Linked DNA regions of Drosophila melanogaster. The protein of the gene in region 2 interacts with the protein of the main gene of each other region in a pairwise test. Each region holds a gene or a part of one and is shown on either strand. Other genes may lie near its edges. The genes, in order: Gadd45, PCNA, dap and Set8.

What was found.
Region 1: the proteins of PCNA (region 2) and Gadd45 interact in a two-hybrid assay, tested with the Drosophila melanogaster proteins (one study listed by BioGRID).
Region 3: the proteins of PCNA (region 2) and dap interact in a two-hybrid assay, tested with the Drosophila melanogaster proteins (2 studies listed by BioGRID).
Region 4: the proteins of PCNA (region 2) and Set8 interact in a two-hybrid assay, tested with the Drosophila melanogaster proteins (one study listed by BioGRID).

What each region holds. Positions count from the first base shown.
Region 1 is NT_033778.4:7,246,814-7,253,063, forward strand, and holds Gadd45 (growth arrest and DNA damage-inducible 45), read left to right. Parts: upstream 1-2,347; 5' UTR 2,348-2,607; coding exon 2,608-3,099; 3' UTR 3,100-3,842; downstream 3,843-6,250.
Region 2 is NT_033778.4:20,261,014-20,267,136, forward strand, and holds PCNA (proliferating cell nuclear antigen), read right to left. Parts: upstream 1,871-6,123; 5' UTR 1,709-1,870; coding exon 1,601-1,708; intron 1,541-1,600; coding exon 866-1,540; 3' UTR 741-865; downstream 1-740. Other genes in the region: plu (plutonium), read right to left, coding at 2,013-2,116, 2,171-2,575, 2,633-2,648; RpS18 (ribosomal protein S18), read left to right, coding at 3,095-3,097, 3,234-3,419, 3,480-3,749; CG8908 (uncharacterized protein), read left to right, coding at 3,919-4,145, 4,210-4,711, 4,764-5,906, 5,956-6,123. UniProt on the Drosophila melanogaster protein: Likely to be an auxiliary protein of DNA polymerase delta complex and is probably involved in the control of DNA replication and repair by increasing the polymerase's processibility.
Region 3 is NT_033778.4:9,708,707-9,717,701, reverse strand, and holds dap (dacapo), read right to left. Parts: upstream 5,382-8,995; 5' UTR 4,763-5,381; coding exon 4,599-4,762; intron 4,540-4,598; coding exon 4,139-4,539; intron 2,792-4,138; coding exon 2,619-2,791; 3' UTR 1,446-2,618; downstream 1-1,445. Other genes in the region: sqa (spaghetti-squash activator), read left to right, coding at 1-1,183.
Region 4 is NT_033777.3:14,312,466-14,321,893, reverse strand, and holds Set8 (SET domain containing 8), read right to left. Parts: upstream 5,857-9,428; 5' UTR 5,691-5,856; intron 5,584-5,690; 5' UTR 5,514-5,583; intron 5,418-5,513; 5' UTR 5,283-5,417; coding exon 5,027-5,282; intron 4,956-5,026; coding exon 3,136-4,955; 3' UTR 1,400-3,135; downstream 1-1,399. Other genes in the region: Afti (aftiphilin), read left to right, coding at 1-108; Crz (corazonin), read right to left, coding at 6,285-6,534, 6,744-6,958; CG31321 (uncharacterized protein), read right to left, coding at 7,720-7,852, 7,919-8,075, 8,287-8,404, 8,468-8,729, 8,793-9,141, 9,208-9,428. UniProt on the Drosophila melanogaster protein: Histone methyltransferase that specifically monomethylates 'Lys-20' of histone H4. H4 'Lys-20' monomethylation is enriched during mitosis and represents a specific tag for epigenetic transcriptional repression.

The DNA.
Region 1 (6,250 bases), about 13 Mb from region 2:
TTCGCTTGGCATTTGGGTTTCGGTTTGGGTTTGGGCCCAGTTTAGTGCTGCGCCGGCGTGACTCAGCAGTGGGGCAACCGCCGGCGAAGTGCCTCCGATCCATGCCCGATCACTCCGTGGGCTCCACGATTCTCCCTCGAAATAAGCCAGCAATGAAATCCATCCAATGTGGTGGCTTCACATGTGATGGGCGCATGTTGCACACACAACTGGGTGGCATGGCACACAAAAGCAACGGGCAGAGGTGCCATTGAAGTCCCACGCAAAAGGCTAAAAATATCTGAATTCCTTGGGTTCGATTGTGACGTGCGGATCAAGCTGGATGAAGAACCAAAACTTCTAATCCGCACGTTCGCCGCAGCAATAGAAAATGCTGTAGTGGTGCCCTTTATGCACTTGTGACAACTCGAATTCCGCGCTGGAATGACAAGGCAATAGTTTTATTTTCTGTCACTGCAAATGCGTATTTAAGTAATAGATATGCATATTTGTTATAAAACAAGCTAAAATGGTACTCACTAGTATGATTATCTTGAAAAATATCACATGGGGTTAGAAACGGTAAAATAAGCAATTTTTAAGTACTACGATTAGTATAATTTGCGTATATGCGTATAATTTTTATGAATGGGTCAATTATTAAGCATAACAAATATAAAATATGCTTTTTATAATGATATTTTCATAATTACAAGTATTGGGCGAACAGATGACCAATGATGTCTGTCCGGTTTTAGCTAGAAAACCCCCAAAATGCCACTGCATTTCCGCGGTTCATTGGCCACTTTCGAGGCGAATTTGGCGCGCAAATTCGTAGCTGAGTCGGCGATTTCCAACTTTCAGCACTTCCGCGGCTGATCCACTTACTACAGGTATGCCCCTCATAAGCACGACAGTTGTTTATGTTTTCGGGTCTAAATACATGCATAGGTCAGTAATTCGAATCACCCTACTCTTAATCATAGTAGTATGTTATTGAAAGACCAGAAGCTTCTTCAAATTGCATGCACATATATATGTACATATTTACATACATATGTTATTGTTATGATCATGGGCTGACTATCAGCTTGGTTGGGTTGAGTTAAACATATCACCTGCCCAGATGCACAGATGAAAACAAGTGATCTTAACCTAAATATAACCCTTCTTATTTTGCCTTCTTTAGGGTTGTATACTTTTCATAGCTTTTTACTTTTTTTGTCGTAAATCTTGCTGAATTACATGCTGCAGCTGCCCAGGAATTGTTTTCAATTCTACGCTGCACGCTCAGCAGTTTGTTCAACTCCAAAAAACCAAAACACATGTATGTATGTATGTACATACATATGTAGGCATCGATTTTCAGGTGCTATTTATAGCCTTAACAAAACCTGCGAACCTATGCTGATTCGGCGATTAAAGTAATAATTAATTACTAAAGTGCACGGCCAGCGGTAGTTGAACCCCTTAGGAGAAGCGAGCTGGAAATTCCGCCGGATGGCGTAGTTCTCGGGTTCAATTGATAAAACTCAGTGGCGATCTCGACTGGCGATTCCGACACGTTCCCACGTGCCGAATGTGCAGCGCGGAGGGGGGGAATTTAAAATTGGAATGCCGCGATAAATTGATTAGCAACTCCCTTTGTGTTTGGACATGCGATTCTGTTTGTCCGGCCGTCTGGCCAAATGCAAAAAGAATAAGATCGTGCGAAGCCTGGCCAGAAATAAAATTCGGGTTAACTTGGGTAAGTAAGGTCATTCGTTAATCATACGCCTAGTATACGCGAGTTGCGCATACGTCGCGTTGGTCGCCGAGATGCGACACACTTGGACCTGTTGCTCGCCATCAGCCATCAGGTATTAGTGGTCCATTCACGGGGTTCTGGCGAAATGTATGTACTAAATTTAAGAAAACCGTTCAAGTGAAATTTATTTACGAATTTTTGTTCGAATTTTGATGAGCAAATTGCGATTTACTCAAAGCATGTTCGCACACGATTTTTTCGCGCGAAAGATAATGAAAGCGAAGCTCTTACTTAAGGGAGACACTTTCCCTGCCTTTGCGAGTGGGAGAGCCGAGTTTCCGGGGGAGCCAAGTTTCCTGACCCCATTTGGAGCGTCCAAAACTGCAGATTGCAGTTTGGGTGTGATGGAAAGAAACCCCCAATCTGCTAATTGCCGCGACATCAACGGAAATCTTTCGGATCCCAAAAAAAGTAATGAAAAAACCCGATTTGGCTGAAAGAGCGCAAGAGCGGGAGAGCGAGCCCCCCTAAAAAGCTCTCGCTCTCGCATTTCTGATGAAATTCAGTGGAATTCTCAGGCGGCGGAGAGCGCGGCTATAAAAGCGTTCGCTCGCCAACCGAAAGCATTCATTGTGAAATTGCCACTCAAAATTGAAACAGCGCGGACAAACGGTTGAAGAAACACAAAGCCCAGTGCGAAAAGAATTTCATAAGCAAAAGTTAATCGGGTGCTAAACAAAAACACTCGAAAGCAAAGCAAAGCATAGCAAAAGCAACAACAAACAGTGCCAGCTGAAAGTGCCCAAAAAGTGGAAGCCAACGGCTCGAAAATAACACAAAACCCAAAGCAAACGCACAACCAAACGGATAACACCCACAATATGGTCGTCGAGGAGAACTGCAGCATGCACCACCTGGAGCGCGAACTGGACCTGGAGCTAGAGATCGATATGGCCATGGAGTGTGCCCCCATCGGACGCACCATCAAGTCGGCCCTTCTAAGGGCCCAGAGCGAGGCGCGTGTGATCGTGGGCCTGTCCGCCGCCATCAACGTGCTCTCCAAGTCGCCGGAGGGATCCCTCTTCTGCCTGATGGCCCAGCCCAAGGACGGCGACTCTGCCACCCACATGCACGAGGTACTGCTGGAGGCCTTTTGCTACGAGAACGACATCTACGTGATCAAGGTGGACGACGCCACCAAGCTGAGCCGCATCCTCGGCCAGGACTCCGTCGAGTCGTGCTGCCTGGTCCAGAAGGTCTGGGCCGACGCCCCCGAGGAGCAGCTGACCAAGGCCGAGAACCAGCTAGTCGACTACTGCGAGGCCCACTGGGACGCCCCCCAGCAGCCCATTGTCCAGCTGCCGGCTGTGTAGGCGCGTGTGAGCGGGACAGCCAGATGTCACAGAATTGAATGGCCCCGCACAGTGGGCGCAAGCAAACTCTAATGGAAACCAGTTGCTGGGGGTTGATGGCCCCGAACGTCTTGGAGAGTTCCCGAGGGAATCCGACGTTTCGTGGCGCTGCCAGAAGCCCACCGGCACATGTACACCTACATAGGATATATAGAATACGACATATGTATATACCCTAACCTGCTGTATTCAGGAAGCAGGAGAGGGAGGAGGGGAGCAGAGATGGATAAGCCGGCGCCTTGGCGGATAATTGAAACTGAAAGGCGACCTTCGAGGCGGCAGTAACTGCAGCTGAGATACCCGCGGAAGTCGCGCACAGATACTCACGCACACAGCCAAGGAGCAGCATCACACACAAGCGCGTGACCAGCTGCCGAACCAACAAAACATATGTGCACATATGTACACAGAACCATACATAAATATAGCCAATTTGTTTCTGTATAATTTTCGCTTTAAGCGTCGCGCAAATTTACTGATAATGACAATTATTCTGTACGCCGTAAATTGTAAATTATACTTAAAAGGAGAGCAGCCAATTGCATGTATACCATTAAAGTTTTGTTATGTTAGCTTTTCCAAAAAAAAAACATCAGATGAAAGCACACAAAAAAATGTTATCTAACTTAAGCACAAAAAGAAAATTGAAAAAGGTTTGAAAAAAACTGATAAAAAATGAAAAATAAAAATCTTGTATAAAAACCAAACTTTCTTCGTCTTGTTTTTTGCCCATCCCTTTCAGCACTCTCTTCCAGCAATCCAAACTGACGTCAATGGGTACAAATCCCTTGGATTTGGATCGGGAGGCCGCCCGACTCATCAATCTTTGCATAACTGCCGGGGTTTCCCCATCGAGCGTGCCTTGCATATAGGGCCCCATCGGACGCCTTATCAATGAATTCTCGGAACCCAGTGGAATGGAAAACACGCGTGAGCGCCGAAATCGGGGCCATCCATCTGGGGGAGACTGGGAGAAGCCCTCGGCTCGAAGTATGCAGTTTTATCAACTTAGATAATGGGTGCGAGAATAGTCAGTTTGCCTAGTTAATTGTTCCCATCACTGATCAGTGGGAAAGTCAATTAGAAGTATGGGTCATGCTTATAGGGGGAAAAAAGTAAAGCACCGTGGAGCACTTGAGTTAATCAGAGTCAATGGGCGTTATAAAAATCGTACTGGGATATTTACGATCCAATGAACGAGACAATTTCATACGAGACCCACTTTGTTTCATTTGCGAACACGCTCGCGATCATGCCAATTGACTTGGCCAACCAGACAGATGTTGAGCATCGAGACACGTTAATGTAATCAATGCCAGACATCGCGCTATGTTGGCCTAATGGATGGATGGACCGGACAGCAGAGACAATAAATAGATAGCCCATCGCACGGAGGAGCTGCCATGCGAGCAGCTCGTGCCGTGGGAAAATCACTGGGAAGAGTTTGCCACTGATTAGGACCATTAGCATGGATCCATGTGGCCAAGACATAGGTCAGTTCGGCGGATCGTCTGGACACGACGCGATGCGATCGGGCGGAGATAATTTGGAACAGTTTAGCGCCTGTTCCAGTCAAATTTTCCGTCTTTCCGAAACAAGACTTTAAAATGTGGTTAGTTATGGCCTTAACGTGATAATCATAATCATCCTCTAGTAGAACTCTGTTTGGAGTAGCAATTCATTATGTATTGCCAAGTCATCGGTTAGCACAATTACATAATATTGAGCAACTTATTCGTTTTTTTCAGATCGATATACTTCAATTGCATACTTCGATATTTATTGTTCCACTTTAGAGAATATTGTTTGATTAGCTTGTCCATTGCACAATTGGATAACTGCATCGGTTCGAGGCGGTTTCAGATTGCCTATGCCCTTCTAATTATCACTTCTCCTATTGTCTCAGTGCATTTCAGCGACCTGGTGCGACATCCAATTGGGTTAATTGCCGGGTGTTCGGCAAAATCCAAGTGATCTGTTAGCGCTACTTACACAAGCCATCCCCACTTAATCATCGCCGCGTGTACTTTACCCCGATCCAGCGAAACGAGCGTGAATTCCAAAGAACGACCAGAGTGCTCAATGCCAATTCCGATTCGGCCAAGTCACTGCGAGTTGGGTAACGAGCCATGCGGCCATTGACTGGCCAATTGAAGCTTTGGCTTTGGCTTTGGCTTGGGGCCAAGCTTTCCCCGCCAGCTGGACAACTGGAAAAGGGGAAGTTTGGACCCGAGACCAGACTCATGCAAACATGATCATCTGCGAGCGTGACTTGGCGGATTCCCGGGGGCGGACGGAGTGCAAGCTTCAGAGATTCGCCTCTACCGGCGACGTCGTCGAAGGTATATATGATTCATATTGGTTTATAGCGGTGCTAGCCCCGCCAGCTGGAAATTAGCATAATTCTCAATGCGAATCAAAACGATTCGGAATGCCCCGCTCGATACTCGAACTCATACTCATATACTCACACTCGACTTACAACCTGTTGGCAAACTAGTTTCGGATTCGTGCGACAGGCCAAAGTTTCTGTTTCTGCCAACCTGCACATGTGATTGTCATGAGCGCGTGCTGAAGGCCCAGCGTGAAAACCCCTCCTCCTCCATCATCTTTTCTGGGTGGTGGTAAGCCGATGCAATGGTAGTATCTGGCCGGGATCAGGAACAAATATGTTGTCTTCGGGCGAATCGAAAACAAGGTGTTGTTATTATTAATTCGATTTACGCGTTAGCTGGCATTTAAGCGCGCGTTGAGCGACGCGGATTTCCCCGTAGGCGTGTAGCACCATGGTTATGCGGAATCACAGCCGCTTATCACTCTGTTTTGAGTTCCAGTCCGGCGGATTATGCGGCGTAGAATTATCAGCCGCGCCATACGCAGAACCAACTGCGCATGGAAGTGCGACGGATGGGCTGGGATAAAGGTACATTTGTACGTGGCATTTGGTGGCCAGACTCGGGAGTGGAAATCTCCGACACTCCACTGATAATTTAGCCAGAATTTCCACATTTTCGGGAGCCATTAAGCCAATCGGACCACATTTGTTTACTGCGTTTCACTTAACCGCAAAAGCATTGAACTTTTCCACCGCCAATCGATTAGATTGATTGCA
Region 2 (6,123 bases):
AATGAACAATATTAACCAATGGCAGATTGTAAGTGGCAATGGGATTTCACAATCACTGTAAAATTTTGTCACCTGCATTTATACCCCCATTGGCCATTTCTCCACTCACATAGGCGTGTAAATCGAATTTTGTTATGCGCAGGAACAATTTGAATTGTTCATTGTTATACGCACTTTCTTGCTTTTTATTACTACGTATATGTAATCTCAAAGGTTTTTTTTATACAATTTTATATGACACAGCTTTCTATGTTTTATATACTCACAAACTAAGTATAGGATACGTATGTATGTAGCTTCTAGCATAAGCAAGCCAAGTATGCAAGTATTGGAAGCGTGTAAACACGCATTATTTATTACATGTATTTACATACGATTAATGCTCTTGAATGCAGGCACACACTCGCTTAAAGCTCTTTGTTGCAAAACTCCCGACTATGTGCCTCATACGGAACGAGTACTTATACACAGTGAATAGAATAATCGCCCATTATTACCCTTGATTTAGAACTCCCCAATGGTATGTCCAGATTTTCTGCAGCTGCGGAGGCTAACAAACTTCAATGTCGGAGATATGCCAAGGTTTTTTGTCTATCCCACGCCAAGGTGTTTGATAAACCACTACTCTTAATATGTATATGTTTGCAATCTCTCTCTCCTTAAACGATACCCAGTGTTATATATGGAATGCGAATAAATGGTTATTACGCCCTAAAATCAATTGTACAACTCAGCCAGTTAACATTACACAGTATAGCTTTTATTGATCAAAAAATGCGGATTTACTTAAAAGTTAGGAATGAAGTGAACGTGGGAAGATGAGTGGTGACGATGCGGGGACATAAATATGAGGAACACAGCTGACTTATGTCTCGTTGTCCTCGATCTTGGGTGCCAGGTAGTAGCGAATGTGACCCAGATCCTTGATCGCATACTCGACTACCAGCGGAACATCTGCGCACATCGACAGCTGCACTTGGGTGGACAATGGCGTCGCCTTTGTGAAGGCGTTCAGGTAGCGACAGGCAAATGTCAGCGTCACCGGCTCCTGCATCTCGATGATCACCGCCTCCTCCTCCTTGTCGACAGAGCCGGTTTGGGCTAGCTTAATGTTGGCGGTGCCCACATCGCCGCTGGCCGAGAACTTGACGCCCTCCTTGGTGCAGCAGATCACAACGGATTCGCTGAACTGCGCCAGATCGCGGCAGATGCGAGCGAACTCCATGGCCGGCATGCGGACCACGCACGAGAAGTCTGTCTCCGGTATGCCCAGGTGCTCCTGGTCGAGGTTCATCAGTTTCATCTCGTAGTCCGATACCTTCTCCTGGTTAGCCGATTCGAACATGATGGTGACAGTGTCGGCGTTATCCTGCGCCTTCATCGTCACATTGTCCTCGTTGTTGGCGCATTTCAGAATCTTGGCCATGCTGCCCAGATTCATGCCCATGGAGAGATTGCGGTCGCAGCGAAACTTGTCGAAGCCATCGGAACGCAGGGTCAGCGAGACAAGCGACACATGGGAGTTGTCCATGGCCTGTAGCTGTAAGTTGAACAAGGTGTTAGGGATATGCATTTAAAATCTTTTTTGTGCAATTTTTACCTGAATGCCGGAGTCGCTGCAATCGAAGGTTGCCTCATTGAGCAGATCCTTGATGGCATCCAAGATCTTCTTCAGGATGGTGGCTTGACCCAGGCGTGCCTCGAACATATTGAATGTGTTTTATTATTTAAATACTGATGACGGGCTTAAGAATTTAACAGCAGTAATGTTACCGCGGCTGTGACTTTGGGATGAATGATTAACGTGGGCTGTTTTTTTTTTTTACTTTCAGGCGGGCTAAATGAGCGGGATAGGGATGTGAAAAGCCACGGGCGATATCGACTGAATCTATCGATAGCAGCCAGCGAGCGGCCTGCCAACTGGTTTGATTAACATATTATGTTCACACTTTTTACAGAGTATATTTATTTCAAACATTAAAATTAATAAATTATTACAAAATGACAATACATTAACGCAGACGATTGCTAATAAAAGTGGGAGGAGAGCGCACATTGCGCTTATCTAAGCGGCCTGCAGCTTTAATCATTCCTCGCAGCTCTGCAACTCCCAGACCTGAAATAAATTTACTTTAATGTTACTATATAAATACACTTGATTTTTACTAACCATGCACTGTTTGAGTTTCTTGCACGCCCCTCGAATCCAATTGAGTAAAATAGGCCACCAAAGCGGAGTGTTTTTGCAGTGTAGCCACACAGAGGGCCGGGATCATCGAGGACAGATTGAAATCCTTGTAGGATCTTCGCCTCAACAGTTCCTTTACTAAAGTCAAATGCCCAGCATAAGTGGCCAGTGTCAGGGCATTTTGACCAAAATAGTTCATAGCAAAGATATTTGCACCGAATTCCAGCAGCGTACGAGCGCACTCAAATCGACCCAAATAGCAGGCCTTCAATAGGGCGGTATTCCCGTACATGTCCACATCCTCGAGGTTGTGCTGCTTGCCGTCGCGAGCCATGGTGCACACGATGCGCAGGGAAACGACATCGTCCTGTCCAACGCAGCTGAGTGCTTAAATGCAATGCATTTTTATCAATATTGGAAATTCGCATAGCTAATATAATTTACCATTTATTTCACCCATTCTGAAAAGCTTTCATATAACGGTGCTCTAGGGATGCAGTACGATAAAACGTATTACGAAATGTGGGGAATAAAATATAAAATATAAAGAAACATAAAATATGAAGTTTAATTTTTTAAATGTGCACACAGAGCATATCTAAATGGCACTTTAAGCATTTTCATTGAACAAAAGTTCGGCGCCTTTTGAATTTTTAAATTTGCATTAGTGATGGACCAGAGTGCGCCTAACAGCACACGGCGAACTATTAACAGCACGCGTCCCGAACGTGGCAGGCAATTTTAGGTTTTTTACTCCGCCTCAGGCAGCCACATTAATTCGGCCTTCTTTTCTTTTCCCGTTTCCGGTGAGTGGTGTGCTGCCCATTTGATTTTTCCAAAATTCTAAAACAAAATACCTCTTAATTCTTTACAGTGAGGAGTAAATACGAGAATACAAACGGCAAAATGGTGAGTTACCTCAAATATGTGCGATTCTGAGCGCCAAACGACAAATTTATAGTGAATTGCAAATGCCGTTAGCTGTTGGCAAAAATGGCGTGGTTTATATGCATTATACTAATGTTTTTTCTTTGCATTCTTGCAGTCGCTCGTCATCCCAGAGAAGTTCCAGCACATCCTGCGTATCATGAATACGAACATCGACGGCAAGCGCAAGGTTGGCATCGCCATGACCGCCATCAAGGGAGTGGGTCGCCGCTACTCCAACATTGTGCTGAAGAAGGCCGATGTCGATCTTACCAAGCGCGCCGGTGAGTGCACCGAGGAGGAGGTAAGTTGAGCACGCCCAATCCGTTCGAGACGCACACCAACCTAAATGCCATGTTTGCAGGTCGACAAGGTGGTGACCATCATCTCGAACCCTCTGCAGTACAAGGTGCCCAACTGGTTCCTCAACAGGCAGAAGGACATCATCGATGGCAAGTACTGGCAGCTGACCTCCTCCAACTTGGACTCGAAGCTGCGTGACGATCTGGAGCGTCTGAAGAAGATCCGCTCCCACCGTGGTCTGCGTCACTACTGGGGCCTCCGTGTGCGTGGCCAGCACACCAAGACCACCGGTCGTCGTGGTCGCACCGTGGGTGTGTCCAAGAAGAAGTAAGCTTAGCAGCGTTCCCTGCCGGAACGGATTTCCGATTCGACTTTAATTTTCACATCAACCACAAAATAAAAGAAAACACGGAAGCCGGAACGTTTTAGTGCGGAGTATACGTGAAGTTTGTTATATTTCTAATCTGTTTACGTGTTGGCGTCATCTAAATTGTACGAATATGTCCAGTGGTGAATCGCCGGTGAAGACGCAGAGCAGCATATGCCTGCTGTGGCTGGTCATATGCAAGACGGCCCGCTTCCAGTTCTCCAATACGCTAACCAGCGTGATCATCATTGTGGGGCCCATCGTAGTCTTCCTCGTTTATGCGGCGACGGCTTTGTTCCGAGAGCCGCAAGAGGAGACGTCGGTGAAGTACCCGCCCGTCAACATCACAACCAAAGTGCCGTATGTATAAGCCGATTGCCACAATAGTCCAGGCCACCCTGACAACACCACATGAACCAACCAGGTACATTTACTACTCACCTGAGAATCTAGTCTTGGCTGCTGTCATCGAGGATGTGGTTCACGATCTGAAGGCCGTTGGCAGTAAGGCCTTTGCCAGCGCATCTGAATTGAATAAAGCGCTGATAGGAAAGGATACATATGGCTACGTGGGCATTGAGTTTGATGACAGCTTCAGCGACATAAATGAGCTTCCGATTAATGTCACGGTGGGCCTGCGTTTTCCGCTTCACCTACGCAAGAATCCCAAGATGGTTTGGGACAACACTTCAATCTTGAAGCACTCCAAAATGGACGTTGATTACTATCAGGTGGAGGGATTTTTGGTTGTGCAAGCCAAGCTCAGCGAGGCGTTGATCAGGGCCAAAAACGAAGCCGTCGTCCTGCCGGAAGTAATCCTGCAGCACTATCCCGATGTCGCGGAAGTGGACAGATTGGATAATAGGGTAGCTTTGGGCGGAGTTCTCTTCCTGCCCGTCACCATATCCGCCGCATATCTTGCCCAAGTATGCACTAAGTTAGAAACTTTCATATATGATAGCTTAATGGTATTTTTAGATGATTGTGATGGAAAGGCGCGATCATTTGAGGGACATGCTGGAACTCATGGGTGTGAGGGCATGGATATACTGGTTGTCCTGGTTTCTGGTGGCCTTCCTGCTCCTGTCCATTCCCACCGTATTCATGGTTCTCTTGCTGAAGTGGCGTTACTTTTCGCTGAGTGATTCGTCGCTGGTGCTGTTCTTTCTGCTGGTCTACAATTTAGAGGTCCTCACGTCGGCCTTCATGATTTCGTCCTTTTTCTCGGACACGGTCGGCGTGCAAGTGGCCATAGTGATCGTGCACCTGATTGGCTGCCTGCCATGGCGCCTATTGCTCATGGGCTATGTTCCCACTTTGCCGCGCACCATATTCGTCTGCTTGTTCCTGAACAGCTCGTTGGCCATGGGACTGCAGCAGTTCATTAAGAGCGAAAACCTTCGTTTGGGCTTGCACTGGACATATCTCTTTGAGCGCACCGATTGGGATGAATTTGTGCACCTGGGCCCCATCCTCCTTTTCATGCTGTTTGGCTGCCTGTTGCGCATACTGGTGCTGGCTTACATGGAACAGCTGAGGAGTTATCAAAATAGAAAGTGGTATTTTCCGGTCCAGCCTTCCTTTTGGTGTCGATGGAATAGGCGACCTCGATCCGATGACTTCGATGTCGAAGGGCAGGAGACGGGCATCAGAGGCCATCCCTTAATTGTGCGGGCCAGGAACATTGAAAAGGTCTTCAACGAATGGATTGCAGTTAAAGATCTCAATCTGAACTTTTACCAAGACGAGATCACCGTATTTCTTGGCCACAACGATTCGGGCAAGTCGACAATCTTAATGCTGCTAGCCGGTTTCTTAAGGCCCAGCGCCGGCGAAATCACCATCAACGGCTATGACTTGGCCACCAATCAGAGGAAAGCCCGGCAATCCATGTGCATTTGTCCGCAGCCCAATGTGCTGTTCGAGAAGGTTAACGCACGATGGCACCTCCAGTTCTACTGCCGCCTCAAGGGACTGAACCGGCAGGAGGCCTCTGCCGAGACGGACAAGTATCTGGAGATCGGCCGCTTGCAGGACTTTGCCAATACCAAGGTGAAGAATCTGCCGAGCGGTATTAAGCGTATGCTCATGCTGTGCTGCAATCTGTGCGGAAACTCCAAGGTACTATCCCTATCCTTGTGGCCTTTAGTGTAAAGTTCCTGTATTGCAGATACTCCTGTTGGACGAGCCCGGCACCAGCATGGATCCTGCAATGCGCAGCAACATGTGGGACCTGCTGAGGCGGGAACGCAAGGGTCGCTGCATCATCATGGCCACGCACAACATGAACGAGGCCGAGGTGGTTGCGGATCAGATTGTGGTCCTGTGCGATGCCCAG
Region 3 (8,995 bases), about 11 Mb from region 2:
GCATCTCTTCAACGAGAACTTCGATGAGTTCTCTGGCAGCCAGTCCACCGCCCAGCAGCAGCGCAGCATGAAGAGCTATCTGCACACCTTCGATCGAAGGAACTCGGATACCACGTACCTGCTGGGTCGGCGGAGTTCCGGAGAGCGGGTGAATCTGGCGGATGAGATACGAAAGCTATCCGATCACCTGCTCATGCTGGCCGAGATCAACACCAAGCTTGGGGATGCGAACAATAACGGGAGCAGCAGTGGAGCGCCTGCTGATCCTCCTGCTGCTGCTGCTGCTGCTGCTGCTCCTGTGCCAACCTCAACTGCTCCAGCATCTGTTGCTCCTTCTGGCAGTACTTCTAGTAAAACCTCGGAGATCAGCCAGGAAGGCAATAGGTGGACCAGCAAAACCACTTCGAGCAGTAGCTGGAATCGTCCCACTTTGAAAGGAGGACTCTTCAGCCAGGCCAGCAGCAGTTCCCAGAGCCAAAGCACCTACGATGACGGAAAGGGCAAGACGAAGATCAGTTCGCTGTCTGTGAGATTGCAGCAGTCCATCGAGGAAACACCCAAGCTAAGCAACGGAAATAGCTCCTCTAGCAAATCCCTGGTCCAGTCGCAGCGAAAGTCCACGGTGCAAACCATGAGCAGTTCCAATGCCAGGAGCTTCACCAACCAGCAAGTACAAAGAACCAGCACCACCTCTTCCAAGGTGATCTCCAGCAGCACCAGAAGCAGTAACACCAGCTCCAGCAATTATATAGCCTCCAACGCCAGCAACTCAATCTCGACCAGCGCCAGCAACCCAAGCTCCACCGGCGCCAGCAATCCAATTACCACCAGCGCCAGCAACGAATCGGCCAGCAGTCGTCGAGCCAAGTTCAGGATAAATCAGATGAGTCGCGATGTGCCCGTTGGGCTGCCGGACACTCATCAAACCGTGAATCTGGAGGAGGCGGCCAACACCACCAAGGATTGCCTGCTGCATTTGTTGGAGAAATACAACGAGACCCGCATCCGCAATCCGGTGGGTCGTCACCAGAGCATCAGCGTGGACTGGCGGGTCAGCGACAATCTGGAGTACCGCTCCATGAGCTCCATCAACGCCTTCTTCCAGCGCCACAACCCCAATGGCGGCGGCCACAACGTACGCCACATTCAAGCCCAGCTGGAGGAGAAGGCGGCGGGCAAGTAGGTGCCCATATCCACAGCCCTCTGTATATATGCGATATATATATTTGTATGTAGAGTACAGATCAACTAATTGGCACATAGGTAAATCTACAAAGCGTCGAATGGAACAAATTAATATTTATGTACTTGATGTAAGCAATAAATCAAATTAATTTATTGAATAAAACTGAAGCAATGATTCGTTTCTATTGACGCGGGATTGAATTTTGTTGGCATCCCACGATATTTTATAAAAATGAAATTAAAAATTAAAAACGCGATTTATGTACTACCAACTAGAAAATCAAAAACAATTTATTGCAGAAAAACAAATATTAACTTATAAAATGTACAAAATTGTTTTAGTAAACTACATTTTACTGCTACGTCTACAACCAAAGTAATGCGGATGTGTTGGTAATTTTGAAACAGGACAATCGCGTTGTTTTTGTTTTGTTTATTGATGTATGAGTTGAATATGGTTTAATTATACATAGAGTGTCTATACATATAAATATTAGGAGAATACTTTGGATTTGTTCTTAGTTAGGCCTTACAAATTAATGCTTTGTATAAGTGTTATGAAGAATAGGCTCTGCCTATGTGTATAGTATGTATAATAATCTAGTTTTTGTACATGATAGTTTCAGGCAAAATTGTTTTCATAATTTGCCCAGAGATCATAGCAAATCATAAAAGACATTTTTAGCACTGGTTAAGAAATGAGAGCGCGACAATTTGTGTCCATTCGGCGGCATTCATATAAATAAGGCATCCAAACGTGCAGAAATTGACGAAGTTAATTCAAAGGCATTCCTCTTTTTTTTTTTTGTTTTCCACTGGTCGAATTGGTTACAATGTTAGTAGGTCGCAAAAACAAAGCAGCAATGAGCCGAAATGCGGCTTATTGGGGCATCGTTTTGGCGCCCTTAATATGCAAGACAAAACTCAATTCTACTCTCCCCTCAGTTTCAGTACTTGGATGAAGTGGCAGGGCAGAGAAAGGATGAGTTTTGTTCACCCGGCAAATTTCAAATGCAAAAGTTGCCGGCGAAATTTGCAAGGATTTCACAAAGTTATGTAAAGTTAGTATTCCATCGTTATAAAGGTTAAATTTCGGTTGGCTTCAAGATAGTTAAGACTAATTCCATTTAGCTTGCGGTCTCTCTCTTCTTGTTCAATAGTTGTTTGTTGTTAAGAACTAATCACTTAGTTTATGGCATTTCTCACTAGAGAAATCTAAAAAGTTTCATTTAGCTCGAGCTTACTGGTTGACTTACAACTAATTACTGGTTACGAGTAGTTGAAGACTAACGATTAATATTCGCAACTGTCGCCCTTGCACTGCATAAAAAGGTTCGTAATAAAAAATTAGGAAATACTACACAATCGCAGTGGCTTGTAAAAAATAAAATTACAAATTGCAATTCGGTGGGTTGGCCAGCGAATCTGGAGCATTAGTTGTGGCGCGGCCGCTTCAACATCGCCCCAAAGTGTGCCCCCAACCCAAATCCACCGCTGGAGCTGGAGCTGGAAGTGGCGGACGAACTGGGAGAACTGGTGCGCATGCGCTTTGCGGGCGATAGTTTCTTGGGTGCCTGGGCCAGACGTTTGCGCTCCTTCATGAATTCTGTAAACAAAGGAAGGAAAACGAGTGTTATTAATACGTGTTAGGTGGAATTGCCAAATCAAAGTCAGCTGCTGCATTTCCGGTTGCCCCTGTTCACAAGTCACTGATCCCTAAACAGCAGGCGCCGCCTGTTTTTCTGTTTTTGCACATTTTGATTTCGGTTTCGGGTAGATTCCCAGATTGTGGCACGTGGACGGCAGCACTTCCCTACCAGAGGGTTGCAGATCCGCACAGGGGTAGCAAATAAATGCCAGACGGCAGCCAGACAGTCGGTCTTTAGCCGGTTTTCAGGTAGTCCGGTGAAAGCAAGAGTGGTGGTGCTACATAACTGCATAAATTATGAGCTCTAGCTTACTGGCCAAAGCAGCAAAAAGTGCACTTTAAGTAAAGCGAGTTGAGGCGTTGGGGGATTCAAAGGCTTCCCTACTGACCACCCGATGCGGGTGCATTTATTATGTTCCGAACAGACACAATTTTTTTATGATTATAATTACACATGCATGTGCTAGTGGCATTTATAAAAAACGCTCAGTACAAAGCAATCAAAGGGAGGTTTGATAAGACCATGGACTCTGGATGGTGGTGCATTGAAAGCCGATCCCCAGACCCCTCTCCCGTTTTCTATAATGAGGTCAGGCCATAGACAAAGCGGAGTCACAGCTGTTGGCATTTATAGATGCAGCCAGCCAGCCCGCATGCTATCGATCTGGAAACCAACCCCCGCGTTGTGGAGGATCAGAAGAGAATCATTCGGTTTAGGGAGATGAGGAGCTGAAACAGCTGCAGTCAGCTTTGACTTACCCTTCTGGACGAAAATAAATCTCCCACAAAGCATTGGCTAATTGCTATAATTTGGGTCTAAGTTTCACGAAAAACGCCCACAACTAAAACGTGAATATAAACAATAAATGCGAAGGAGTGGACTTAAAACCAATCAAACAACCCCTTATGGAGTTTAGTATTGTAAGTACAAAATCCTGCACAAAATATTGGTTTGGCATAAAATCATTGATGAAAATCGTTTTCATCGAGTTTGCAAAACAAAGAGCACGAATCTACTTTTATATCTCGAGCACTATATTCGGAAATTTTTAGATAATACTCTCTACTCTACAGATAATTTTGAAAAATAATATCGTATCAGTCCGATTACAAAACAAGCCTGATAAGTTAAAAAAAAAAAAAAAACACCCTCAACTTCCTCCTGAGAACCGAAAATAAACAGGGAATAAAAGGAAAGCTATGGGAAAACACTTTGTAACGTCTATCGAAGTGAAATGAAGCCTGACCCTGGGAACCGTCAAGCTCTACTGATCAAAATGGTGTAGAACATCCCCCAAAACTCACCTGTGATTTTTGGCTGTCTCTTGCGCAGGACTATGGAGGATGTGCTTGTCGTGCTGGAGGAGCTAAGCCGCATTGCCAGCGACTCGTCCTGGGAGTCGTAACAAGATTCATTATCCGTGTTCGACTCTAGCGAGGAATTGACCAGATTGGAGCCAAAGTTCTCCCGTTCTGAGCGCTCGTTGACCAAAATGTCCATGTCGCTAGGACTTGCATCCGCGGAAGGGCGTACGTGGGCGGCCCGTGTTAGGGTGTACATCTCTGGGGCGAAGCTCGACTCCTGGAAGCTGACGCGCTCCCAAATGTAGGGTGATTTTTCAGCTAAAGGGCAGCCGGCGCGGAAGTCAAAGCCCCATTTTTGCGTGGCCAGTTCTTGATGGCGCTCCAGTTCGGAATTAAAGGGTCTAAAGAGGATATATTGTTAGCTATTGGTCAAAATCCAACTGTTATTATAGAAACTCACGTTTTGTTGGCTGTACCCTCGGCGGATTTGGAGCTACCGAAGAGGTCACGCTTTATGCGATTCAACTGACGACCGCATGCCAGATTGCGACTCACCGCCGGGCTGCTGCTCATCTTGCAGAACTCACTGATCATCACAGGATTCAGGACTCGGGCACTGACCATGTTGAGTCAATATATATTTTTTTGGGATCCCCTAGTGTTTTCTACTCTGTTTTGAGACGCACTTTTCTTGCCACTTGTTTGCGAATTACACGCCAAAGCGAACTGTCAAACTTTTGGCGCCAAAACTTTGTGTTCAGACAGCCCCAAAAGAGAGAGAGGCAGTCTCCACACGAATACAAATCACGGTCTCCACACGCGAGCGTGTGTGTATGTGAGAGGGAGAGCGAGTGTTCTGTGTGTGCGTTGTGCTGCAGCTTATTTTACGTCTTGCTGCGTTCAAAAGTGAAATTTCACGCTGCAATTGTTTATAAAAATAATTATAAACAAATGCCTTGGTCCAATAGCACTTGGTCACTATCTTTGAATGGCGATTCGAACACACTGCACTGCTAGTCGACTCACAAAACGAAACGTTTGCGGGTCTCGTTGGAGTTTTTGTATGAGTTAGCTGCCAATGGCAGCACCTTTGTATTATATTTGTCTTTACAACTTGAAGTCGTTTTTACAGCGATGTTTGTTAACCTTTTCGGCTATGAGCGCACTGCGCACTAGATTTTTAAATATAGCGCTACCGATCGAAGCGAACCTCTCTCGACGAACTCGGAGAAACGAATAAAAGATAAATAAAACACTGGGCAAAAGCAAACGTCAAACAACCACCAGAGGCGTTGCCAACTGGAAATTCAGAGCGGTTCACGCTCTCTCTGTAGCAACCCTCGAATTCGAAAAGATCGGAAAAGCAGCAGGAGCGAAAGAGATAGGGAAAAAGAATGCGCTTTTAATGTTAATCATATCGAAAGAGCAATGCACTTCCTTTGAATTGTTCTTTAAACTTATATAGCAAACGTATAAAAAATACTCAGAAAAATAAAAGTTTCCTAACAAAATTTAACTAAGGCATCTGAGTTTAAAAGTTTTGATATTATGAGCTTTAATATAATTATTGATTGTTGGAATCATCATATAGTACAATATATAATACGTATTCATTATTATTATTATTATTATTATTATCATTATTTTCATTATTTCCTGTCAAATAATATTCACAGCTCATAAGCCCATAGTTCATTTGTAAACAGTATTCAACCAGATTTTATTTTTAATGTTTTTGAAATAACCAATTTAATTATATTTTAAACTGTCCAAGGTTCCTTCATAGAGCGTATCAAGAAAGTCGTCACAACTTCCACAACCTCTCTCTCTCTCACCATATGTCTCCCACTCTCTCGCACGCCATCTACCCATCCCTGCCATTTCCATCCGTGTGTTCTGTTCGCTGCCTTCTTGGTTGTTGTTGCATCGGTGGAGCTGTACTTTTAGTTGCGATTGCGATGGGAAGATACGAAAAAACGATGTTATGGTTTTGGTTTGTTTGGCCTCAAACTGGATTTTTAGTCGTCGGAGGGAAGTGGCAGGGGGCATTTGGGGCACCAATTCTTTTCACTTTCCTCGTGTTGCCAAGGGGAAAATCGCGCTTGCATTGTGGGGCACTGGTCCACCAAATATACATTTGTACGATGTATGTATGTATGTATGTAAAATAATGTGCACGTCTAGTTCGAATTTCCTTGTGGTGTTTGCATAGCACTGGGTATTTCAAATTTCCGTTATGGTTCACTTTGTGAAACGCAAGTTTTCTGCTCATTTCGTGCTGCATTTTCATAAAGTTTTTTTCCTTTCGTGTGCAAAATCGTAAAAAATTAAATTACACTACCAAAGGCAATAAAACGAGATTTATATTGTTTGAACAAATCCAATTAAATAAGAAGGAAAGAATTGGGACAAAGCCTTGGAAGTCAGATTCGTAGACTAAAGACATCATTTGCTTTGTCCTTTGCACTCGACGAAATAATGGGAAAACCCATCGGCTTTCCACACAAAAACCCGAGAAAAAAAAAAACAAGAAAAAACGGAGTGCAATCACCCCAAAAAAGGCAGAGATCGTTTGACGAACGTTCGATTAGGCAGCATCATCATCCATCCATAATTCGTTCCTTTCCACTCCCATAAGATCCGATCCCTTGTGGTTCGGTTTTCTGTTTATGGGACACACCCTCCCTCAAAAAGAAAAGCAACGTGAATTTACACACTTTATAACAAATTTGAGAATTCTACTGGCGTTCGGCGGCAGTCATGCCTGAAAACATAAACAACTCAAGAAGGAGTTTTTCGAAAGGGGAAGAGTTCGTGATCCCTTTAAGTAATTTCCTCCCGAGCAGGATATCCTGGCTTTATATGGGTTGTGTCAACACACGCGGAAAAACAAAAAAAAAAAAGGCTGAGAAAAGAGGTGGAAAAGCGGTTCTCAAGTGTCCCGCTTATGAGGGCAGATCCTAAAGGATTGTCGTGGAACGTGCGGGCATTGGATGGCACTCAAGGTATTCACTTGATTGCAGTCCTTAATGCTGGTAGGATCGAATTGGATCTTATCCGAATTCCCTAATATGCACTCAACTATGGCCCCCCCCCCCCCCCCCCGAGTAGATAAGGGCTAGGCAAATATCATCAGTGTTTCCTAGTCAAAGGTCGCGCGGTCGGTAGAACATTATCTCGTATCTACTAAAACCTCAACAAAGCCCAGTCCTGCCTTGTCTCGTATAAAATATACGTTACACTCATTTCGAATGCAACGCGTCTTATCGCCTCAGCACACAGCGGACAATCGAGCCAGCCCATTCCACCCCAGGAGGAGGTCAGAGATATCCCACTCTATATGGCAACTCATAGCCAAGAACCTAGTCCGATCCGCCACGTGTTCCGGTGGGGGTGCAAATGCTCAGCGAGCATGACCGGCCTGCTAAGTAACGCTCGAAAGTGGCGTAAGATATTTTTTTGAAACATTCTCGGCTCCGTAAGAAAATTACCATAAAAACTGTTCGGCGCACGGAACTGTGACCGCAATTTTGGAAGTTTTGCTAGGCAGGTGTGCTGCGACTAAGGACATTTCAGGGGTTCAACCCAACTTGTTGTGGGAGTGGCTCACTAAGAACTAATAACTTTTAATAGGTAAGAAAAGGGCCAATTGGAAATATATACTTTTTATAGTAGACACATAAAATTACGTTAGGATCCTGAAAAACCAGAAACCTATTAATTGATTTTTAATAATATGAAACTTTTTTGGGATAACTCGAGTTAGGACCCAGGGATTAATTGCACTAATGACCATCTGAGCAGCAAAGCCATTTATATATCTCAGCCACAGTCGTAGCGATCCCCATCAAAACACCAAAAACAACCCAAACGATCTTCTCCAAGTGTTACAAAGCATTTCTTCCTGGCAAATGACCAATCATTAATATTACAAAATCTCTGCGCAGGACATTTATAAATGACTTTTTGGTATCTTGGATCTTTTGCTCGGACAAATTGCGGTCGGATCGGTGGTTATTGATGGATTTTCCTTAAAGTGGAATGCAAATAGTCGGGCAAGTATGCAAATATTTGGACTGGCTACCGTACAGGCTAATCCTTTGCTGATCCTGTGGCTACTGTGCTACTTTCCATTCAAGCGATCAATCATGGAAAAGGCACTTGTGCTGACCAACACAAGCAACTAGCATGACAACTCATTTTATTAGAACAGTCTCTCCGGTGGACAAACATCCAAGGAGGTTGTGTGAAATGGTTCCCTGTTCCTGGTAAACGCGTGGAAAACGTGTTTTGGAAAATACTCATTGTTGGCTCAGCGTGATGCGAGGAACTCGTTTTATCAGCCAAGAAATTATAAATATTTATGAAAAACCTTTTGAGCGAACGCGGACCCAAGGAAAGATAAACAAACAGAGGCACGGAGTCAAGAAGTTGTCAAACGCAAAGTATCTTAGGTCAGGAAAGCAGATCAGTCAGAGATGTATCTCCTGGTGTCTATTTGTACATGCTATCTGGCTATCTGGCGCAGAACTACCCCAAGAACGGAGGAAACCTCAGTCACTTTGTTGGATACATATTCGGCGCATTAGATGACTTTAGATGACTGGGGAGTCCCCATCTCCCCGAACAAACTCAAATAATAATAAAAAACGCATTTATGACTCGACTTCATCGGGTGAGAAACGCCATAAAGCAGCGAGGCAATCGGCGTCGGCGATCGTTTAACGTAGGAAAATACAGAAAACCGAAATCCTTTCGAAAATCATCCACAAAACAGGTTGGAAAAGGGAGTCCGATATAGTAAGATGGCCATAAAATGCAGGTAGACCGCTCGGTCATTTGGGGGTTTTCAATCAC
Region 4 (9,428 bases), on a different chromosome or scaffold from region 2:
CGCATCTCCCTGATCCCCGATCTCAGCTTCGTTGCACCGGCCTTGCCCACAAATGCTGGTGCGTTCATGGGTGCGCTACCGAAACCCACTTTCGGTGGCAAGAAATGACACAAGAAGCTGAGGGTGGGCGGTGGGCGGCTCCAGCAGCAGCAGCAGCGTCCGCATGTGGGCGCTCCTCGCCCACTGGGTGGCGGCGAGGCCACCATCCTCACATAGGCGAAAGGATCGATCGCGCACCCGGGTAGCCAGTCAGTATTATGAATCCGTCTGATATTCACCATAATCCGAACCGTCACACATTGTAGTTTTGAGGCAAGCTGTGTTCCATGTTGTTGTCGTTGTTGTTAACCTTGTCGTTGGCATAATTGTTGTTGTTGTTGTGCATGCATGTTGTAGTCTTAGGCGTAAAAATCAGGATTTAGAACGAAACAAACAAGTAACCATTTTGTGCTATAGTTTGATTCTAAATTTATGTTTTACTTAATTTGACGAAAAAAATTATACTTTTGAAAAATAATATTTTGTAGAGCGAAAAAACTGTTAGTATGCTTGAAAAATTCTTTGTTTTTATCTAATATTATTTAAATGATCGGATATACTTTTAGAATTCGAATTATTGGGTAAATAAGTCAAAAAACTCTAGAAGAATTGTAAAGTAAAACGAAAAAGAATACCGCACACCAGTGAAATTATGTAATTTAAGGGATATTTCTGAAATCCTGCGAGATTTTAAGGTTTAAGCTTATGCATCCGATAGCATGCAATATCTCTATGCGGTCATATCAATATAACAACATAAGATTTATCATAGATGACCAAAAAAGAAAAGATACAAATTAATAACAAGGATTTCGGAAGTATCCCAAGTAAGGAAAAAATCGGCATTACTTTTAAAAATGTAAAACTATTAGTTCCATGATGATTTTAGCTTTAATCAACCCCAAAGTTAGAACCCTAAATCGGAAAACTCCGCCTATCTGAGGAATATCATCAGTTAATCCCTGCGGCAAAGCCTACAAATGCATTCCACTAGCGGCGAACTTCCCCTTTTGTATATCCATAACAAATACTCCAATGCGATTGCGGGCCACCACCACCACATGGATGAAAACCCAACCCGCCTGATGCGAATTTTTTCTATATTGTGTACTTATAACAAGCGACAGGAAAGCGAACTAACCAAGCAAACATAGTTAACGTGTTGTATATGAAATAGGATTTGTTAGTTGATAGAAGAACTCCCATGCATTCCAAGTGTAAATGAGTGTGACTGGTTGCCATGATGATCTCCAGGTAATCGCTGGAAAACGAAACCCAATCCGCTCCAGTTCTTGATTATTGTTTTGTTCGTGTTAATGTGTTTTCATTTATTTATTTTACTTTATGTTACGCACTTTAAGTTGAATGTGTCTGTGTGTGTGTGTGTCTGAAAAATTATAAACAATTATCGACTAAAACTAAGTGTTTGATGTAATCATATGTTTTTAGGCTTAAATGTAAATTACAAATAGATTTCAATTTGTTTTGTTTCATTTTGCCAAGTCAATGAAAAAAAAAGGTAAAAACAAGAACATGATTATAGATGGTTGCTGCTTGGTTTTAAATAAATGAATTACCTATGTACTAGAACGTATTAAAATATATTTACCATATTGTATAATTAAAAGATATGCGCTGATTAAAATAAACCTATTTAAAAAAACAAAATCCTTCAATATATTGGAGCATTCATTTAAAATACAGAAATCTGGTTCAAATGGGACAACACAAATTTGAACTAAGTCGATTAACTAACGATGCCGTATTTTCGGGGGCAGGGGCGGGGTGATTTATCATTTAATTGCTTGAGTGTGTGATTGAAACCTGCGTGTAAGTAGAGAGATTATCAGTAAGTCGAAGCACTAGGTGTCCAGCAGGCCACTACTCTCCTGGAGAAGCCTCGAGAATTAATGAGTGTGTCAATGGGTTAAATCAACAATTCAGTAGTGTCAGTTCCTAGGGGTTTTTTTTTTTTTTTTGGGACAGGTGCGAGGGGGAGTGTATAGCTCTATGGCAGTAAATAGTACGTAATAGTTAGAAATTACACATGTATCTAATATAAATATCTATATAAATAGTGTACAATCGATTCTTGTCAATGTGAATGCGTGGCTTCATCAACATCATCATCTCTTTTCAAATGGTCAACAGTTTTTCGATTTCATTCAATTATCTTAAGATGCCTTAATGCTTAAGCGCGTTGTTTTTATTATTATTATTATCATTATTATCTCTCCTTAACTTTAGCCTTGCTCTAAACATAATGAAACGCTAACAAATCCAAAAAGATGCTCATGAGTTTGTGTAAGGAGGGAGGGGGAGGGGGGGGTTGCTTGGATCACGGGTGGATCGATAATGAGTCTTATAGGGATTGAATCGTAATCGTACAATTTAAAGGCATTTTGCTTTGGGGATCATGGGTCTAATATCAATTTACAATCTGTATAGTCTAGGTCTTTTTGATAAATTTGTTCTTAATTGATAATTTCGATTATTTCACTGACCCAAAGGGAAATATTAACTTCATTTGTAACTTATTTTGGTAACGCCGAAGATCGAAATTGACATTAGACCTATTTCTGAGGCAAACTTGTTAGAATTTACATTGATTACTTTTCGTCCCTGGCTGGAACCACCCTTGGGTGTGGGGCGTGTGGGTTTCGCTATCCGTTATGATATTTTGAACTAACAGTTTATATACTTTTCCTCAAATAAGATCTAAGCTCGGGGCTGCCCAGAACCGGTGTCAAATACGCCTCTCTCCATTCCGATCCAAATTGCCGGAATTCGTAATGATTGAATTGGTCTTACCAAAAATATAAGTGCTTGCAATATTGATATAATTTTGCTTAATGAAACTTTGTAAATGAATCAAATTCCGGCAACTTATCACACGGAAACAGGTCTGAAAACAATTTTGCAGTGGTTCAAGGCAAGGCAATCTACGTATAAAAGCTAAGAAAGATTCCCTCGAGCCAAAAACCAGTTTAGCCCAGGTCTTATTATTTTAAAGATTCTCTGCCCTGAACATGGTAAATAGTCTTCGTTTTAAGGCTGTACCGCAACCCCTTTCGCGAGCTCCTGGAGAGCTCTTCCTCAGAAGGCCAACCAAGGATGGTGCAATAGTGACTCCTTCGATCGGTCCCCGTAGTCATAGGTCAGTTCCTCGCCCGGCTCGATGTCGTCCTTGGCCAGGAGTACGAGATGCGGCCGCTGTTTGATAAGTACTACTTTGGTCATTAGGTTACCAGCCCGCGAGTGATTGATGAGGCGCCCCAGCTTGCCGGTGTCAACGGTTGCATCGATGCAGTACTGCTGGGACTTGTGCTTGAAGTAGTACATATAGCACCCAGCATTCTCGTCCAACGCATAGCGTTTCTCCCGTTCCGCGGCTTCGCCTATAGATATGAGATCTCCCACATACTCAACCACAAATTCGTTGCGTTTAAAGGGCCGATCGGCGACTACGCCTCTTCCCTTGCCCATAAAGTGGCGTACTTGGAGACCATCGCAGCGCTCTTCCAGCACTGCTTGCTCCAAGCCTCGCATCCATTCCTCCTTGACGGCCGTCTTAGTCTTGCGCACACTCCTTCGCACCGGGAAGAAGTCCGTCATCTCACGATTGCCGTTGGTGGCAGCCAAGGGCAGCGGCGGTTGTCCCTTCGTTGGCCCCTTGCTTTTGGTCTTTGATTTCACGGGCGCAGGCTTGAGCATCGTTTTCATGCCTGCTTTGTTGCTGTTCGCTGTGGCTGGTGCTTTGTTCTGGTTTTCACGCTCCTCGGCAGCCTTGATCAGGGCTCGAACGTCGTCCTCGTCATCTCCTTCATCATCGTCGTCGTCTAGCACCACGACGATATCATCCTGCTGCTGCTGCTGCTGTTGTGACGGTGGTTTCTGTAGCTGTGGCTGGTAAGGCGCTTGTGGCTTTGGCTGGTTCAGTCTTCGACGCGACTTGCAGGCTGCCACCGCTGCTGTTGTGGTCGGCAGTTTTCGAGGAGACTTGCGCGGCGACAATGGATCCGCAGATCCGACCTTGCAAATCCCTCCAGTTACCTTCAAAGCCGTTTTGATTGGCGAGGGGCAGAGGATGCGATGCGGTGTGGCTGGTTTTCTGCGTCGGGGTTGCCCCGCTGGCGATTCTGTATTGGCAGTGAGACCACAGGCTACTCCGCTGTCGCAAGAACTACTGTCATGTTGATCCAAATCGAAGTGCGGCAAGTCCAGCGCCTCCTTTTGTCCATTCAGGCTTACTATTTGATTGAAGCGTCCATTGAGACAGGCGTTTAGCACCGACGGAGGTGATGAGAATACGGCTCCGGCCAGTTCGAAGCTCCGATTGATCTTTATGCTGGAGGCTTTGGTGGGCGTGCGATCAATGTCCAGGGTCAGTACCGGCTCCTGCAGGAAGATGTTGTCGGTGCTGCTGCTGTGCGTGGAACTGTGGCTGTCCCTCAGCGCAGAGCGATGTGTCTGGAAGTCGGCCAGAGAGCCCAGTCCCTCGAGCGGCTCTGTGACCTTTTTGATGTGTGGAATTTCTGGAGTCTGCTGGATCTCCTGCATGACATCCATATCATGCTGATAAAAGGGCGAATTGGAGGACGCTCTGGAACTGCCATCGAACAGAAGTTCCTCCACCACCTGCTGCAGTTCCTCATCCATAAGCTTTTGTTCTGCCTTGGCATCTACTTCGTCGGCAAAGGGAAGGTTTTCATTTATCTGCTTGTCTGCCAGCTTTAGCACCTCGTCATCTAGTTTTATCTGTCCATTTAGCTCCTCATCGTCCAGTTTCAGTTCCTGATTTCCTAGATTCAACTGCTCCTCTGTGTGTATTGTCTTTTGGGAATCCTTAGCGGCAGCATTGGCTTTGAAGAAGTTCTCAATGGTGCGAGTTTGTGAGCGCGTGGCCAAGGGAACTCCTTGAAAAATAACAAACAAGGGGTATTTTAGCCAACACAGCTAACCTAAAAAGTACGAGAAGCGTACTCACCTATTGTGCGACCCGCTTTGTTGTCTTTGTTGTGTGCCATCATTGTGGCTTCCGGCAGTTGGCCATTTTGAGTGACCTTCATCAAACGGCAGTCTTTCCGCTTGGGGCTGGCAAAATACTGATCCTCCAGCAGATTTCCCGCCACATTCAGTGGCAGTGCCTGGTCAACAGGAATTCCCGATCCCGAGGAAGCTCCACCAGAGGATGAGGATGCGGCTTCCTTGGCGGGCCGTTGTCGTCTTCGCACCATTATCATTTAAAATGGGTTGGGGGCGCGTGATCGCTGTGTGGGCGGTAGTTACTTGGGTTTTTTTTTGGCGTTGGCGCGTTTTTTTCTGGACACGCGTTTTACCTCTCACACGCACACGCGGAAAAACCAAACTGCAATTACCTGAAGGTAACCGAAAAAAAACAAACAACAAAATTAACGTAGAACTCATAAAACAATTGCACATTACATGTGTGTTTTTTTTTCCTCCTTTTCTACCTCTCTTACTCTCGCTCTCTGCCATGCACTTTTCTCCTCTACTCGCCCCTCTTGCGTACAGTTTTCGCCACTGAAAAAACGTAGTCGTTATTGTTGTTGTGCGAAGCGAGCGAAAGAGGAAGAAGACCAAAAGAAGGGAAAAAAAGAGGGAAAATAATGTGAGTCCCCGCAATGCACCTCGCTCGGAAAACTGTCGTCATACGCAGAAGCGCATTTTTAAACGGATGCGATCGACTTTATGCATGGCAGCATTTCAATGGCGGGGGAAATTAATTGTTGCACTTTTCCGCAAACTTTTTTGGTTCTTTCTTTTTTGCGTCGGTTAGTGTTACCAGATTGCGCATCTGCTTTCACCTCTCGTGTATGCGGCCTCATTTTGTAATACCAAATTCAGTATATTTTCATATTTTCAGCATGTTTTAAAGCTGTGTTGGGCAGTACTAAAGTATTAAGTTGAAAAAGATATGTTAAATCAATTTGACTAAATATGAATTATTTATATCTAAGTGGTCTAATGGTACCATTAGAAAAAGACGAAGGTTTTGGATTTATTACATACATTTTCTAATGACCTCATGTAAATGGTATCTGAAACAACTCTATTATTTACACTATTTAAATATTTAAAATACTCTTCTTGGATATTAAAAAAAGACAGTTAAGTAATTCATAAAAATCCTGTGTTTTATTAACCGTTTACAACAATTTTTTTTACATTTTTGTAGCATTTTTTGCTAGTTTACAATAGATTTCACATTGAACGGATAGTGGCTAATGTTTTCCAAACACATTGGGTTCGGCGGATGCTCCTCCAGCGGCACTCAGCTCTTCTAGGAGTTCGTTGGACTGGCGATGTCTGTTGGGGATATTGGCACTTGAGTACAAAACATTCTCGCCATTAGAGTTGCTCAGTCTGGGATGGGCGCTGTTTTCGGGATCCGGATCTACTCGGTTGGCATTGAAGTCCGAACCGGGGACACAGTTTCTGGCAATCAGTGAACGTTGGAGCTGCGATAGACAGCTGGAGGAAAATTTTAAAATATTACTTTAATACATAAAAAACAAGAAAATAAGTAGGAATGAAGTGTATAAGTAGGGCAATTATAATATATAATTCCTTAGTTATATGATTTTAATAGGTATCTAATGGAATGTTTTTGGGTTATCATATTCTTTATGTATTTTAAAAATAAAGTTGTATATTTCTGTTATTCTTTCGATGAAACTTACCGCTCGAGCCTACGATCGCTGCTCCAATCCTGCAAATCGTAGAGATCCGTGAGTCCCAGCTCGCTGGCCCGATGGAGATGGCCGTTGGCCAGGAGGGGAGATGCGGCGTTAAAGGACCTCTTGCCGTTGGTCCATCCGCGGGAGTACTGGAAGGTCTGGCCCATGCACATGGAGAGCGTGAAGAGGAAGAGGGGCAGCAGCAGGAGGCGCAACATGTTTCGGCAGAAGTTAGTCCTGTTTGCAGGACACTCGGTAATCTCGGTTGGTTCCTTTCGCGTTCGAATCACAACTGCGTCTGAACTATTGATGCTCCTCGACGGGCTTTTATATCGTTGTTAGATAGCCATTAAGGATTGATGCCAAAGGATGCGTGATGTGTCTGCGTTTTCCTCCAGAATCCTTGCTTCAATGCCCTCCAGAAACACACACTTACCCAGATTAACCGGGGATTATTAGCACCCAATTGTTTCAACTTGGCAGTTAGCGCCCACATGTGGCCACGCCCCCAGCTGCCGCCACCGCCCCTTGTACCAACGACAGCTGGCTGCTCAAACTGAATGCATTTGCTGATTGGAAAACTACCACTTTTCCCGGGCAAAATCCGAAAGTGGGTGGCAAAAGGCAAAAGGCAAAAGGCTTAAAATAAAATGCTTGAGCCGAAAAAGTAATTTTCTTCCCACTCCAAAAGGGGAGTAAAATGTCCAAATTAGACTTGGATGACCTCAGGTAAATGGATTTGCAAATGGACTCGGCCAAAAATAGCAACGACTTTAATTAAGTTATATGTGGACTAGTTACAACTGTTTTTAATATGCTTACTAACTTTAAACTCACACTTTCAGCAAATGAAAGTTAAAGATCAACTCGTTGGTAATATAAAATGCTATAAAAATTCCCTATAAATATACAAAAAATATACAATTTATATTATAAATATATAAAAATATATATATAACACGGACTGGCATTAAGTACGTTACAGACTAGTTATTTCGCTATCGGGCACCACGCTTGCCCGATTGCCACCATTTGCTCCACCATTCTGCTCCATTTCCACGACGCTCTTCTCCTCGTTGGCCTTTCGACGCCGCAGCAGGAAGTAGCACACACTAGAATTAAAAAAAAAAATCATTTATAAATTTAGAGTTAACTTATGAAAACCTTAAATAACTTACACGAAGACCAAGACATTGGGAATGTAGAAGATTTCGCCAAAGAGCCAAATGGCACCTGGGAATGAATCCACCGTGCTCTTGTAAATCTCACTGAAGATTGGCGGGAAAATGAATTGGGCAATTGGCTCACTGATGCCAAAGATGGAGTACATTTTGCCTGAAAATTATTTAGTTATTATTATTTATTTAAAAAAATAAAATCCACTCTAAAAGTAGCTTAGCCCGAAAGTGTATTTACTAATTAGACGCAACCACATTTCAACTGCATTCCAAAGCATTCAAATTCTGCTATCTGAATATCAATCTCTCTCGTCTGACTAACCGGTATCTTATAGTCGAGACTATAGCGTTGACCTTAGTAAACTTACTCAGCTCGTCGCCAGCCACAATGCTCGAACCGATGGTCTTGATGGCAATCACTCGCAGACTGACGAACATGTCCACCACACCAGCAACGTAAAATGAGGCAGTGCTGCTGGAGAAGGCCTGCAGGAATTCAAAAACTATGCATATATACCACTGAATTCCAACTAGAATCTAAAAACTTACGAAAAGGACGCGGGAACAGACAATGGACAGGGCGGAGAGCATGCCAATCATGGAGTCGGAGACCTTGAGTAGCTTGCTCAAGATGGCAGTGCCAATGAAGGTGCCCACCAGTGCAGCGCCACTGGACAGGGTGAGGTAGATACTAAAGTCGTTGCCGTTCCAGGCGAGCTTCTTCAGCGTGAATCGATACCAATAGTCGTTCTCACCGGAAGTGGGCCCGACGGTCAGGAAGTAGGCACACAGCAGCAGGATTAGCAACATTCTGAAAACATAGGACATCTTGAGTGGTAATCCATGCGGTATGGACTTCTTGTGGCTGGATCACCTGCCGTTATTGGGTCGCTTGACCAGCGGAAAACGGATGCAGTCCAGCACCAGGGTGGGATCGAAAAGTTCCTTCAAGAGTGATCGTTTTGGCGGCACCACCTCCACTTTGGGCTCCATTTGCGGAGTTAGCTGGAAGTTGACGTTCTTGTTACCCTGCAGCTCATCCAAATTGGTGGTCTCGTAGGCCATATTGTCGGCTCCCTGCTGCTTGGGCGGCAGACTGGTGGGCAGTGGTGGTGGCTCATTCGCAGTGGTGCTGGTGGTGGGCGTGGTCTTCACCTCTTTTATGAAGAAAATTATGTAAAATATCGCAATCAGCTGAAAGACAATGGCGGAGGCAAAGGACCCTGGCACAAAGGAATGCATCTCATTAATATAATTCCATTTTTTTTTAGCATAATAATTTAACTTACATGTGTAGCCCAAAGTTGTGAAGAGAACTCCACTAATCGGTTGTCCTATAAACGGAACTCCAGTGACGAACATGGCAAAGATGCCGAAACGGAACACGCGATCCTCCTCCGGCGTGGCTATGGTGATGTAGCTATAGATTGCCATCAAACAGAAGGTTAATCCTCCGAAGAGAGCTGGAACTATAGCCTCACAGTAGGCGCCAAACTCCATTGGCAGCGAT